Linked DNA regions of Rattus norvegicus. The protein of the gene in region 1 purifies or fractionates together with the protein of each later gene. This does not show direct contact. Links are inferred from orthologs where the notes say so. Each region holds a gene or a part of one and is shown in the gene's direction. Other genes may lie near its edges.

Region 1 (3,652 bases):
TGCTTTAAGATACACTCTCATGCCATTCTGAGAATCTCCTTGCTTGCACCTGATCACCGTGGCTTACTGTAATCTCCCCAATGTGTTTCACTGTTGCAGGCTGACTCTTGCTTGTGGTGGGATAGCTCTGAACTCCTTTGATGACCTGAATCCTGACTGTTTGGGACATGCAGGGCTTGTCTATGAGTATACATTGGTAAGTGTTTTCTTTCTAAGACTTTTTTGTTTATCAGTGGTCGAGTAGGAAACTTTAAACTCAAAATTAGATGGTTAACAATTTTATGGGGTTTGGTTGGTTGGTTTGAAATAAGTTGGTTTTTGTGTTTGTTCGGTTTAAGATAAGGTTTTACTGTATAGCTTTGGAACTCAGAGACCTTTGCCTCTGTCATAGAGTTAGAGACCGTCATGACTGTGGGTAACCTGTTACTGACAATAATTTCTCTTCTACACAGGGTGAGGAGAAGTTCACCTTTATTGAGAAATGTAACAATCCCCGTTCTGTCACTTTACTGGTTAAAGGACCAAACAAGCACACGCTGACTCAGATCAAGGATGCAATCAGAGATGGCTTGAGGGCTGTCAAAAATGCTATTGATGATGGTAAGAACCTCTCGGTATTTGAACTGTGTTCTTGTTGCTGGTCTAACAGGCATGGCTGAATACTGTGTTCTTTAGTCAGTAATTTACACAGCCAGACACCATGCAAAAGTAAAGGCTTCCGTTTTAGATGGCTGATATGCTATTTTGTATGGTATATCATTATCAAAAGTGAGTACAAGTAAGTGGCTAAGGCTGGTGGCTCCTGAGCTACTGATTACTGCTTATGGTAAGATTCGACCTTTTTGCTGGCTATTGATTGCTTATACTGTGGTATAAGTAAGTCTGTGCAAGGGGTATTGCCTATTGATACAGCACTTGCCTAACACAACTGAGACCTGTACCTCCATCTCTGTTACTGTAAAAACTGCATGCACGTGAGTGTGTGTGTCTGTGTATGTGTTCACAAGCATAGTGAATTTCTAAGTTAATTACCTAATAATATATTACCTTAAAATGAGTTCTAAACTGTTGTCCCTTTTGTTTTATTTTTTATTTGGTAGGTTTTGTATCTTTCTCTGTAACATAGCATTTTCTCTTCCCATGCCCAACAGGCTGTGTTGTCCCGGGTGCAGGTGCAGTTGAAGTGGCACTGGCAGAGGCTCTGATTAAATACAAGCCCAGTGTGAAGGGCAGAGCTCAGCTTGGGGTCCAGGCATTTGCAGATGCCTTGCTCATCATTCCCAAGGTTTGAATACTTACTTAAAACTTGGTTTTGCGGGGTTGGGGATTTAGCTCAGTGGTAGAGCACTTGCCTAGGAAGCACAAGGCCCTGGGTTCGGTCCCCAGCTCCGAAAAAAAGAACCAAAAAAAAAAAAAAAACTTAGTTTTGCGCTCAGCTTTTAGCTATGGTCAGTTGTAAATGTTAGTTTGTTCCTACAGTAGAAAACTAGCCAGTTGTGGTGGCACACGCCTTTTATCCTAGTATATGTGAGGTAGAGGCAGGCAGATTTCAGCCAGCCTGGTACATAGTGAAGCTCATGCCAGCCAAAGGTATTTGTCTGGATACTGCTTCAGCCCTGAGTGGGTAGAATTTAAAAGAATATCCACCCTACCACATCCTGGGACAGGCAAGTAGGAAATCTCTGTAGCTGGACAGGAGAGAAAAAAAAGGGGAAACCAGCTTAGAGATCAGACACAAATTAAGGACCACGTGGTAGGAAGGGGAGTCTTTAATGGGCAGATTAACACAGCTGCGTGGCACCAGCCCAGTAAACCACTGCCTAGATCAGTTGTTATTGGTCTCCATTGGGTACTCAGTAAAGGTTAGGGTTATGACCAGTGCTTTGATTGGCTAGGTTTGGGATGTGTCAGTTGGTCAACTACACCTCTGCCTGTTCTTCATCAGGGAACATGGATAACGGTTCTGTCTTCGGTCAAAGCATGCAACCCCACCCCTGTTTGTTTGGCAGGGGCAGGAAGGGTATGCTGCAGCTCTTGTATGGTCAGAAGACATTTTATAAAATTGGGAATACTGCTCATTTATTCTGGCTTAACCCTCATTTCTCAGCATGTCTTTTCAAGAATTAATTTGTTCTCTAGGTTCTTGCGCAGAACTCTGGTTTTGACCTTCAGGAAACATTAGTTAAAGTTCAAGCTGAACATTCAGAATCCGGTCAGCTTGTGGGTGTGGATCTAAACACAGGTGAGAGTGCTGCACCTTATTTGTGGGGGTAAAACTAGATGGGGTGAAGCTGGGACTGGGAAGGTGGATGACAGGAGGATCTTGGTGCCAGTGCTGTGTACAAAGCAGAAAGCCTGTGTCGGCAACTTATAGGAGATTATGGGGATTTAGCTCAGTGGTTGAGCGCTTACCTAGGAAGCGCAAGGCCCTGGGTTCGGTCACCAGCTCCGAAAAAAAAGAACCAAAAAAAAAAAAGAAGAAGAAGAAAGAGGAAGAGGAGGAGGGGGAGGAAGAAGATTAATAATAATAATGATAGGCTGTAGAAATTGCTCAAAGGTTGAGGGCACTGGTTGCTTTTACAGAGGACCTGGGTTCAATTCTCAGCACCCTCACAACGCTCACAACTGTCTGTAACATCAGCTCCAGAAGATCTGACACCTTCACACAGACATACATGCAGGCAAAAACACTAATGCACATTAAAATAAACATAAATTATATAATAATAATATAAAAAGAAATCTTATAAAAGAAAAAAAATATCGTGGGAGTAACGTTCACAGCATACCATTGTAGGAAAGTAAAAAAAAAAAGAGAGAGAGGGAAGTCAAAGACACATGTGGGTCAACAGCAGTGTGTGCCAAGCAGTGTGCAAATGTCTGGTAAGCAGTTGAGCATTGCTAAAGAGATCAGCCACACGTCAGACATGTTCTGGATAAGAGCAGTGATTGGAAGACTCTTGGATGACTGGTCAGGGATAAGCCATAAAGACCCTGAGGCTGACAAGGTACAGCCTGTGATCCCAGAAGTGAGGCAGCAGGACTGCAGCCTGGATGCTGTCTAGGGCTGTAGTACAGAAAAACATCTTTTAAAAAAATGGTCTCAATTGGCCATTGGTTTTGTTTTAGAATTGGTAGGGTTCATAAAATAGAATGTGTTTTCTTGATAAAAAGCTTTTGGTGCTCTGGCTATTTGCAGGTGAGCCAATGGTGGCCGCAGAAATGGGTGTGTGGGATAACTACTGTGTGAAGAAGCAGCTGCTTCACTCCTGGTGAGTTTGAACTCCCAAGATGACTCTTGGTCAGACACAGAGCAGTTTGGGTTGAAATCTGAGCTGTCCTTTTCTCTTCCCTTACAGTACTGTGATCGCCACCAACATTCTCCTGGTTGACGAGATCATGAGAGCTGGGATGTCCTCTCTGAAGGGCTGAAGTCTGCCTGGGATGCTACAGAATGTTGGGGGGGGGGGGGGTTGTCCAAGCTTCAAGTGATTTGGAAAAGAATTTTCTCTTCCTGATTGGAGAAAAGGAACAGGACATTTGGCACCTATTCAAATTATAATACTGTAAATTTTATTTAATTTTTTTTTGCATTGAGTGAATACACTTAAAGCAGGTCTTTTTAAATCCACTGAACAAGATGTTTTCGTTA
Region 2 (3,331 bases), on another chromosome or scaffold:
AGCACATAGGTGACTGCAGACGTGGAGCCTGCTGTCTCCCCACAGACAGTTCCAGGGCCACACGGACGGGGCCAGCTGCATTGACATATCAGACTACGGGACCCGGCTGTGGACTGGGGGCCTGGACAACACCGTGCGCTGCTGGGATCTGCGCGAGGGCCGCCAGCTGCAGCAACATGACTTCAGTTCCCAGGTGCACCCACAATCCTCGGCCTCCCCGGGGTGTTCCTACCTGACCTGAAACCGGGTGGGACACAGCATCTGTGGAGACGGCTTGGTGGGTAAAGTGTTGCCTTGATGGTGTGAGTTCAAATCCCTAGACTACATAAAAAGCCAGACGTAGTTAGACATAAAAATTGCCTATAACCCTGGGCATGCAGAGAGCTTGAGGGCCAGATTATTCAAATAAGTGAGCTCCAGGTTCAGTGAGAGGCTCTGCCTCAAACAAGCTGAGAAGCTGGAAATGGAACACATCTTTTAAAAAAAGATTTACTTACTTTATGAGTACACTGTCGCTGTCTTCAGACACACCAAAAGAGGGCATCAGTTCCTATTACAGATGGTTGTGAGCCACCATGTGGTTGCTGGGAATTGAACTCAGGACCTCAGGGTGGTCAGAGCTGCATATTGACAGTCTCAAACACCCCCCCCCCAAATAAATAAAAAGTAAAAAAAACACAAAAACAAAAACCTCAGACTAAGAGAGACTCTGCAGCTCGTACCCCTAGTCCCCCTGACTCTCCATGAGTGAGAAGCAGGCCACCAAGCCTAGTCAGCCCTGGACCTTCGCCATCTGTACAGCTAGCTCTCTCTGCCCAGAATCCCGAGGTCCTGGGATCCTCTCATGAGTGCTCACGTGTGCACCTGTCCCTGGCCACCTTGTCCCCATAAGGGGCACCCCTGGGTCTCCGGCATCATGAATGGTCCAGAGTCTCAGCACTGTCTCTCTTGCCCTAGATCTTCTCGTTGGGCCACTGTCCCAGTCAGGACTGGCTGGCCGTGGGGATGGAAAGCAGCCACGTGGAGGTCCTGCATGTGCGCAAGCCTGAGAAGTACCAGCTCCGCCTGCACGAGAGCTGCGTGCTGTCGCTCAAGTTCGCTTCCTGCGGTACAGGCCTGGGAGAGCCCTGGGGACAGTATCGGGATGGAGGGAGGGTGGCACACCCAAAGGCTCGACTTAGACAACGAATCAGCCAGGCCTGTTCACCCAGCTGCTCACTGAGGTCCAAGCCAGTTTAGATAAATGCCCAGACACACCCACCACCGATGTCTCACACACACACAAAGGGATGGAGCAGGTGAGGTGACTTGCATGCCTTTAATTCCGGCCCTTGGGAGGTAGAGGCAGTTGCATCTCTGAGGTCAAGTTTAGCCTGGTCTATAGAGCTCCGGGACACCCAGGTCTACATCGAGAAACTGTGGAAGAGACTCCATGTTGACTGGCGGTTCCATGTTGATTGATAGAGCAGAGTGGTGGGCTTCGGGCTGGAGTGAATTTCTAAGCTTTTGGACACTGAAGAGCTGACCCCTACCTTGGGGGTCACTCCCTGCCCCCTCCCCTCCCCAGGACGCTGGTTTGTGAGCACAGGCAAGGATAACCTGCTCAATGCCTGGAGGACACCCTATGGGGCCAGCATTTTCCAGGTATTCACCTCCCCGAAGTGGAGGCCATGTCTGCATTTTCCTGTCCTAGACATGTCCTGTAAGGAGTCCCGCACTGAGCTCCTTGTTGAGCACGATGTTGCCTTGCCAGGAGCCCTCCGTGTTATAGCAAGTGCCACAGCCATGCTCTGTTCATGGCTCTGTGTGCTGGGGTGAGGGCAACTTTGTCTCCCACTGCACTGTTTTCATTTTGGTGTAGATGAAGTGAAATCTTTCTGTAAAAGGGCCTCGTGTGCTGGGCTGTGCTCTTCTCAGCTTAAGTGGCAATTTCTTTTTTATTTTAAGATTTATGTATGTGAGTACACACCAGAAGAGGGCATCAGATCCCATTACAGATGGTTGTGAGCCACCATGTGGTTGCTGGGAATTGAACTCAGGACCTTGGCGAGAGCAGTCAGTGCTCTTAACCGCTGAGTCATCTCTCCAGCCCTAAGTGGCTACTTCTAATAAGTCTCTTGAACCTTCTGTGGACCTGCCAGTCCTTCCCAACAACCAAAGATCTCAGACTCTCCAACCTGGAGCTGGATCATTACTGAGTTGGGGCCTTTATATCAACCCTTCACACATGAGGGATACCACTGCCCCTCTGGGACATGGTGACACAGATCTTCGATCTCAGCGCTTGGAAGGGTGGGTGGGGCAGGAGCATGGTTGGTGAGGGCTGGGGGGAGAGGAGAGGAGGAAGTGGAGGTGCTTTGCTGTGAAGCCATCTGAAGTCAGCTCAAGGAGTTAGGTACCATCTCTCTTAGATCAGTCAGGCTAGCTCAGTCCCCAGCTAGAAGGCCCTGGCCACAGCCACACCTTGTTGTCCTCCAAGCCCCATGTTTATGGTCTGTGCACTTTCTGGTGGTCACCATGTGTCCGCCCCTCACCTCTCCTTTGTCCCAGTCCAAAGAGTCTTCTTCCGTGTTGAGCTGCGACATCTCCAGGAACAACAAGTACATTGTGACAGGCTCAGGGGACAAGAAGGCCACTGTGTATGAGGTGGTGTACTGAACCATGTGCTGCCTTTTCAAGCCACCTGCCCTGGATGGCAGGCCACTCGGGACATGGGTCCCTTTGCCCACACTTGGCTTGCTCCCTCCCGGATGGGTGGGACTGGGGGCACTGGGGAAATATAAGATTATTTATCAACTTGCTTTCCGTGTGTGTGAGTGTGTGTGTGAAGCACACAGAGGACAGACAGAGGCCCAGCTGGGTGTCAGCCTTCCTTTCTCTTTACCTTGATTTTCAGAGTTGGGACCTTACTGTTGATATGCCCTGGCAGACAGGTCAACGAGCCCCAGGGACCCTCCTGTCTCTACCTACAGAGCTAGCACATCCTCGTTGCCTGCCTGGCAAGGGCTTTACCAACTGAGCCATCTTCCTAGCTCTCTAAACCAAAACCAAACAGGGTGAGGTCCGTAGCTGGTGTAGCCCTGGCCATCCTGGAACTCAGAAATCCGCCTGCCTCTGCCTCCCGAGTGCTGGGACTAAAGGCAAATACTAAGAGGTTGGAGGGCTCGGAGCTACAAAGTCCTTCCAAAGCCTGGGAAAAGGACAATCTCCGCCTTTTAAAATGCTTTATTACCTATGACTCAGGGTCTGCACACCTCATGGAAGTCTCTGGAAGCATCGCAGACCCTTCACACCCTGGCCATCCACCACTGTGCAGTTAGGGGAGGGGAGT
Region 3 (3,138 bases), on another chromosome or scaffold:
GCTTCTGTATTTCAGTGCTTTCTTCCTCTGTGCAGGCAGCAAAGGCTGGCCGAGTGGAAGGCGACTCAGCTGAGGAACAAGTTTGGAGAAGTTTTAGAGATCTCGGGGAAGGATTACGTTCAAGAAGTCACCAAGGCTGGCGAGGGCTTGTGGGTGGTCTTACACCTGTACAAACAAGGGTGAGCAGAGGCTGGCCTCCACGTGGGTGGTCTGTGACTTTGTCCCCAGTCTGTGTGAGCCTTAACCTCTACAAAGGGATTTGGTTTGTGTTTTGTTTTGTTTTTATCTGCACTTGTGTTCTGTGTTTTTATAGCTGTTGGTCCAAACCATAGAGCTCGGTTTCCATCGTAAGACTTTAATGTTTGCGAGTAATGTGTTTCCGCTAAAAGTATAGAACACAGACTTAGGTTTCTTTGACTTAAAAGAATTCTGCCAAGTGTAGTAGCTCACACCGGCAGGCCCAGCATGAGAGGCTGAGGCCCGAGAACTATGACAGAGGTCAAGACAAGCCTGGACGGCATAGCGAGTTTGAGGGCAGCCTGGTTACATGGCAAGATCCAGACACACGAAGCACGGCGAGTGAGGTGTTCCTGCAGAGGAACCGGTTCAGAATTACTCTGTGCACCTGAGGACTTGCAGGGGGACCACATGGCTGCTGAGTGACCTGGGGCCTCCATGATTTCCCAGCAGACACCGCTGTTCTTCACCCTCACGGGATGCTTGCTCAGAAATCACTTAAGGCAGGAAATGCTTTCTGGCTTGCTTCACAGGCATCCTGTGTTCTCTTCAGTGTCCAGAAAGCTATAGCGGTTTTCATAAACTATCAAAGCTTTTTCCTCACACATACTGTTAAGTTTGGGTTTGGAGGTATTCCCCTTCCCTGACCACACTAGAATGGCCTTTATTTTATTTTTTTTTTTAAAGAAATGTGAATTCATTCTGCCATAGCGAACATCTGTGAAGTTCCTGTGAGGTTGTCATGTCAAGAGAAGGCCACCAGGCTCTGCCCTGTCTGCTCGCATCACAGCCACTCTGTTTCTCTTCTGTGTTCCAGGATTCCCCTCTGTTCCTTGATAAACCATCACTTGAGTGGGCTCGCCAGGAAGTTTCCCGATGTGAAATTTATCAAAGCCATTTCAACGACCTGCATACCCAATTACCCTGACAGGAACCTCCCCACAGTGTTCGTCTACCGGGAGGGGGATATCAAGGCACAGTTCATCGGTCCCCTGGTGTTCGGTGGCATGAACCTGACCATAGATGGTGAGGGCTTGAGGATATTGTGAGAGGTGGGCGGGAAACTCTCTCGGGGATGTCAGTGTCCATGACACACGTCACGCCTTTGCCTCATCCCTGCAGAGTCACCTGGAGCAGTGAGCTTTGGGCAGGACCCCTCTGAGGGGTCCTGGCGTCTTACGCAATTTGCTTTTCTTTGTCTCCAGAGTTGGAGTGGAAACTATCTGAGTCAGGAGCAATCAAGACAGAGCTGGAGGAGAACCCCAAGAAAGCCATCAAAGACGTGCTGCTGTCCTCAGTGCGGGACCCTGTCCCCATGAGGAGGGACAGTGATTCCGAGGACGACTAAGATAGCAGTGATGCAGCCTTTCGAACTCTCTTGATAAGACGCATTGTCTGGAGTTTCAATAAGGAGGGAAAAGCAATAATTTATCCTTTTGGGTTTTAACCTTTTTATAATTATTTAAATTTTATACATTTCAGATATAATCATTGCTGAAATTTTTTAAGAAATTTGTTGGAACTCTTTATAATGTTTCTTTAAGAATTTAAGCTCTTATGTCACATATCCATGTTTTCCTACATGTGTTTCAGCAAACCCTGTGACTGTTTAGTATCTTTTGACATGCAACTATAGAGAAAGGAATGTGGAGTTTAAAAACACAATGCAAATAAATTAAGTTAAAAACTAAAACATAACAGTGCAGAAAACAAGAACTCGGCTTTATAGTTAAGTCAGACTGTCCATTTTCATTTTATAAAGCTAGCAAAAGAAATATCAGCTGATAGAAATGGCTGATAATTTTGAGACAAATACTGTCTTATCAAACTAGCTGACAGATTTCAGCTTACACCATGTTTGTATTCAGGTCAGTCTTCCAGTTAACTCACGTGTGTCTCTGGCTGTTAAGACACCAGCTGTTCTTTGTGGTGGCACATGCTTTTAATCCCAGCACTGGGACACAGGCAGGCAGGTCATGTGAGTTCAAGGCTGGTCTGGCTTGCAGGGCCAGGGCCACCTCACCAAGACCCTGTCTTGAAGCCAAAAACAGAGCTGTTCTTGGCTCTAAGGTCCTGTTAGGTTCGGCTTGGGGGACTGAGGTTTAAGCACACACACATGTAAGCTGTGTCCCAGCTGATTTATAAAAATGTTTCGGGATACTCTTTGAGTCAGAATCCTATAAATTGATGATGAAAGCTGAAAAGTATCAATAATATTTTTGTTGAATGTGGTAACATGTATAGCTGATTGGAACCTTAGAGATAAGAGTCTAAGAATACAGGATTTGTTCAGATTATGTTGTAAAACTTATTTCTTGTTGTAATCCCAAGACTGACAGAGTGTGAGAATGCCTTGTTTTCTATTACTGGAGGGCCCACTACACCGCTGAACAAAAGCCGTTTGGAGTGGCTTCCTTCGGACATGCTGTGAAGTTTTAACAGCAGGGTTGGAAAAGTCTTGGGTTCTGTTGCTGGTGAAGATCCCATGTGGCTTGTAGGAGCGCTGCGGCCTTATAATCTCTGCCGTGGCTCACAGCTGCAGTTTGATGCTGTGTTCGCCGTAGAGCAGTAGTTCTCTACGTGTGGGCCGTGACCCTTTTGGGAGCCACACCTCAGATAGTTACCTTACAATTCATAACGGTAGCAAAATTAGTTATGAAGTAGCAACATAGAAAATTTTATGGTTGGGGTCACCCAAGGATAAAGAACTGTATTAAAGGGTCATAGTGTTTGGAAGGTTGAGGACCAGTGAATTAAGTGGAATTTTTACACTAAGAGAGTGGTAGAACCAGGATGCAGGCAGTGTACACATTGTTGGGGAGCTGCAGGCTCAGTTCTCAGGACAGGACCTGGATGCGGGCAGAGTGCAGTGTTGGGGAGCTGTGGGTAACAGTCACTTAA

The links.
Region 2: the proteins of Cct6a (region 1) and Tle2 purify together in Homo sapiens (affinity purification with mass spectrometry; 3 studies listed by BioGRID and IntAct, with this or other methods). This does not show direct contact. The link is inferred for Rattus norvegicus from reciprocal best matches to the Homo sapiens genes CCT6A and TLE2.
Region 3: the proteins of Cct6a (region 1) and Pdcl3 purify together in Homo sapiens (affinity purification with mass spectrometry; 3 studies listed by BioGRID and IntAct, with this or other methods). This does not show direct contact. The link is inferred for Rattus norvegicus from reciprocal best matches to the Homo sapiens genes CCT6A and PDCL3.

Annotation. Positions count from the first base shown.
Region 1 is NC_086030.1:32,508,994-32,512,645, reverse strand, and holds part of Cct6a (T-complex protein 1 subunit zeta), read left to right. Parts: intron 1-99; coding exon 100-196; intron 197-452; coding exon 453-600; intron 601-649; exon of another isoform or gene 650-780; intron 781-1,151; coding exon 1,152-1,285; intron 1,286-2,139; coding exon 2,140-2,242; intron 2,243-3,199; coding exon 3,200-3,272; intron 3,273-3,359; coding exon 3,360-3,432; 3' UTR 3,433-3,652. UniProt on the Homo sapiens protein: Component of the chaperonin-containing T-complex (TRiC), a molecular chaperone complex that assists the folding of actin, tubulin and other proteins upon ATP hydrolysis.
Region 2 is NC_086025.1:8,769,285-8,772,615, reverse strand, and holds the end of Tle2 (transducin-like enhancer protein 2), read left to right. Parts: intron 1-45; coding exon 46-193; intron 194-957; coding exon 958-1,108; intron 1,109-1,567; coding exon 1,568-1,644; intron 1,645-2,550; coding exon 2,551-2,658; 3' UTR 2,659-2,801; downstream 2,802-3,331.
Region 3 is NC_086027.1:48,736,024-48,739,161, forward strand, and holds the end of Pdcl3 (phosducin-like protein 3), read left to right. Parts: intron 1-35; coding exon 36-179; intron 180-1,054; coding exon 1,055-1,263; intron 1,264-1,442; coding exon 1,443-1,585; 3' UTR 1,586-2,531; downstream 2,532-3,138. UniProt on the Homo sapiens protein: Acts as a chaperone for the angiogenic VEGF receptor KDR/VEGFR2, increasing its abundance by inhibiting its ubiquitination and degradation.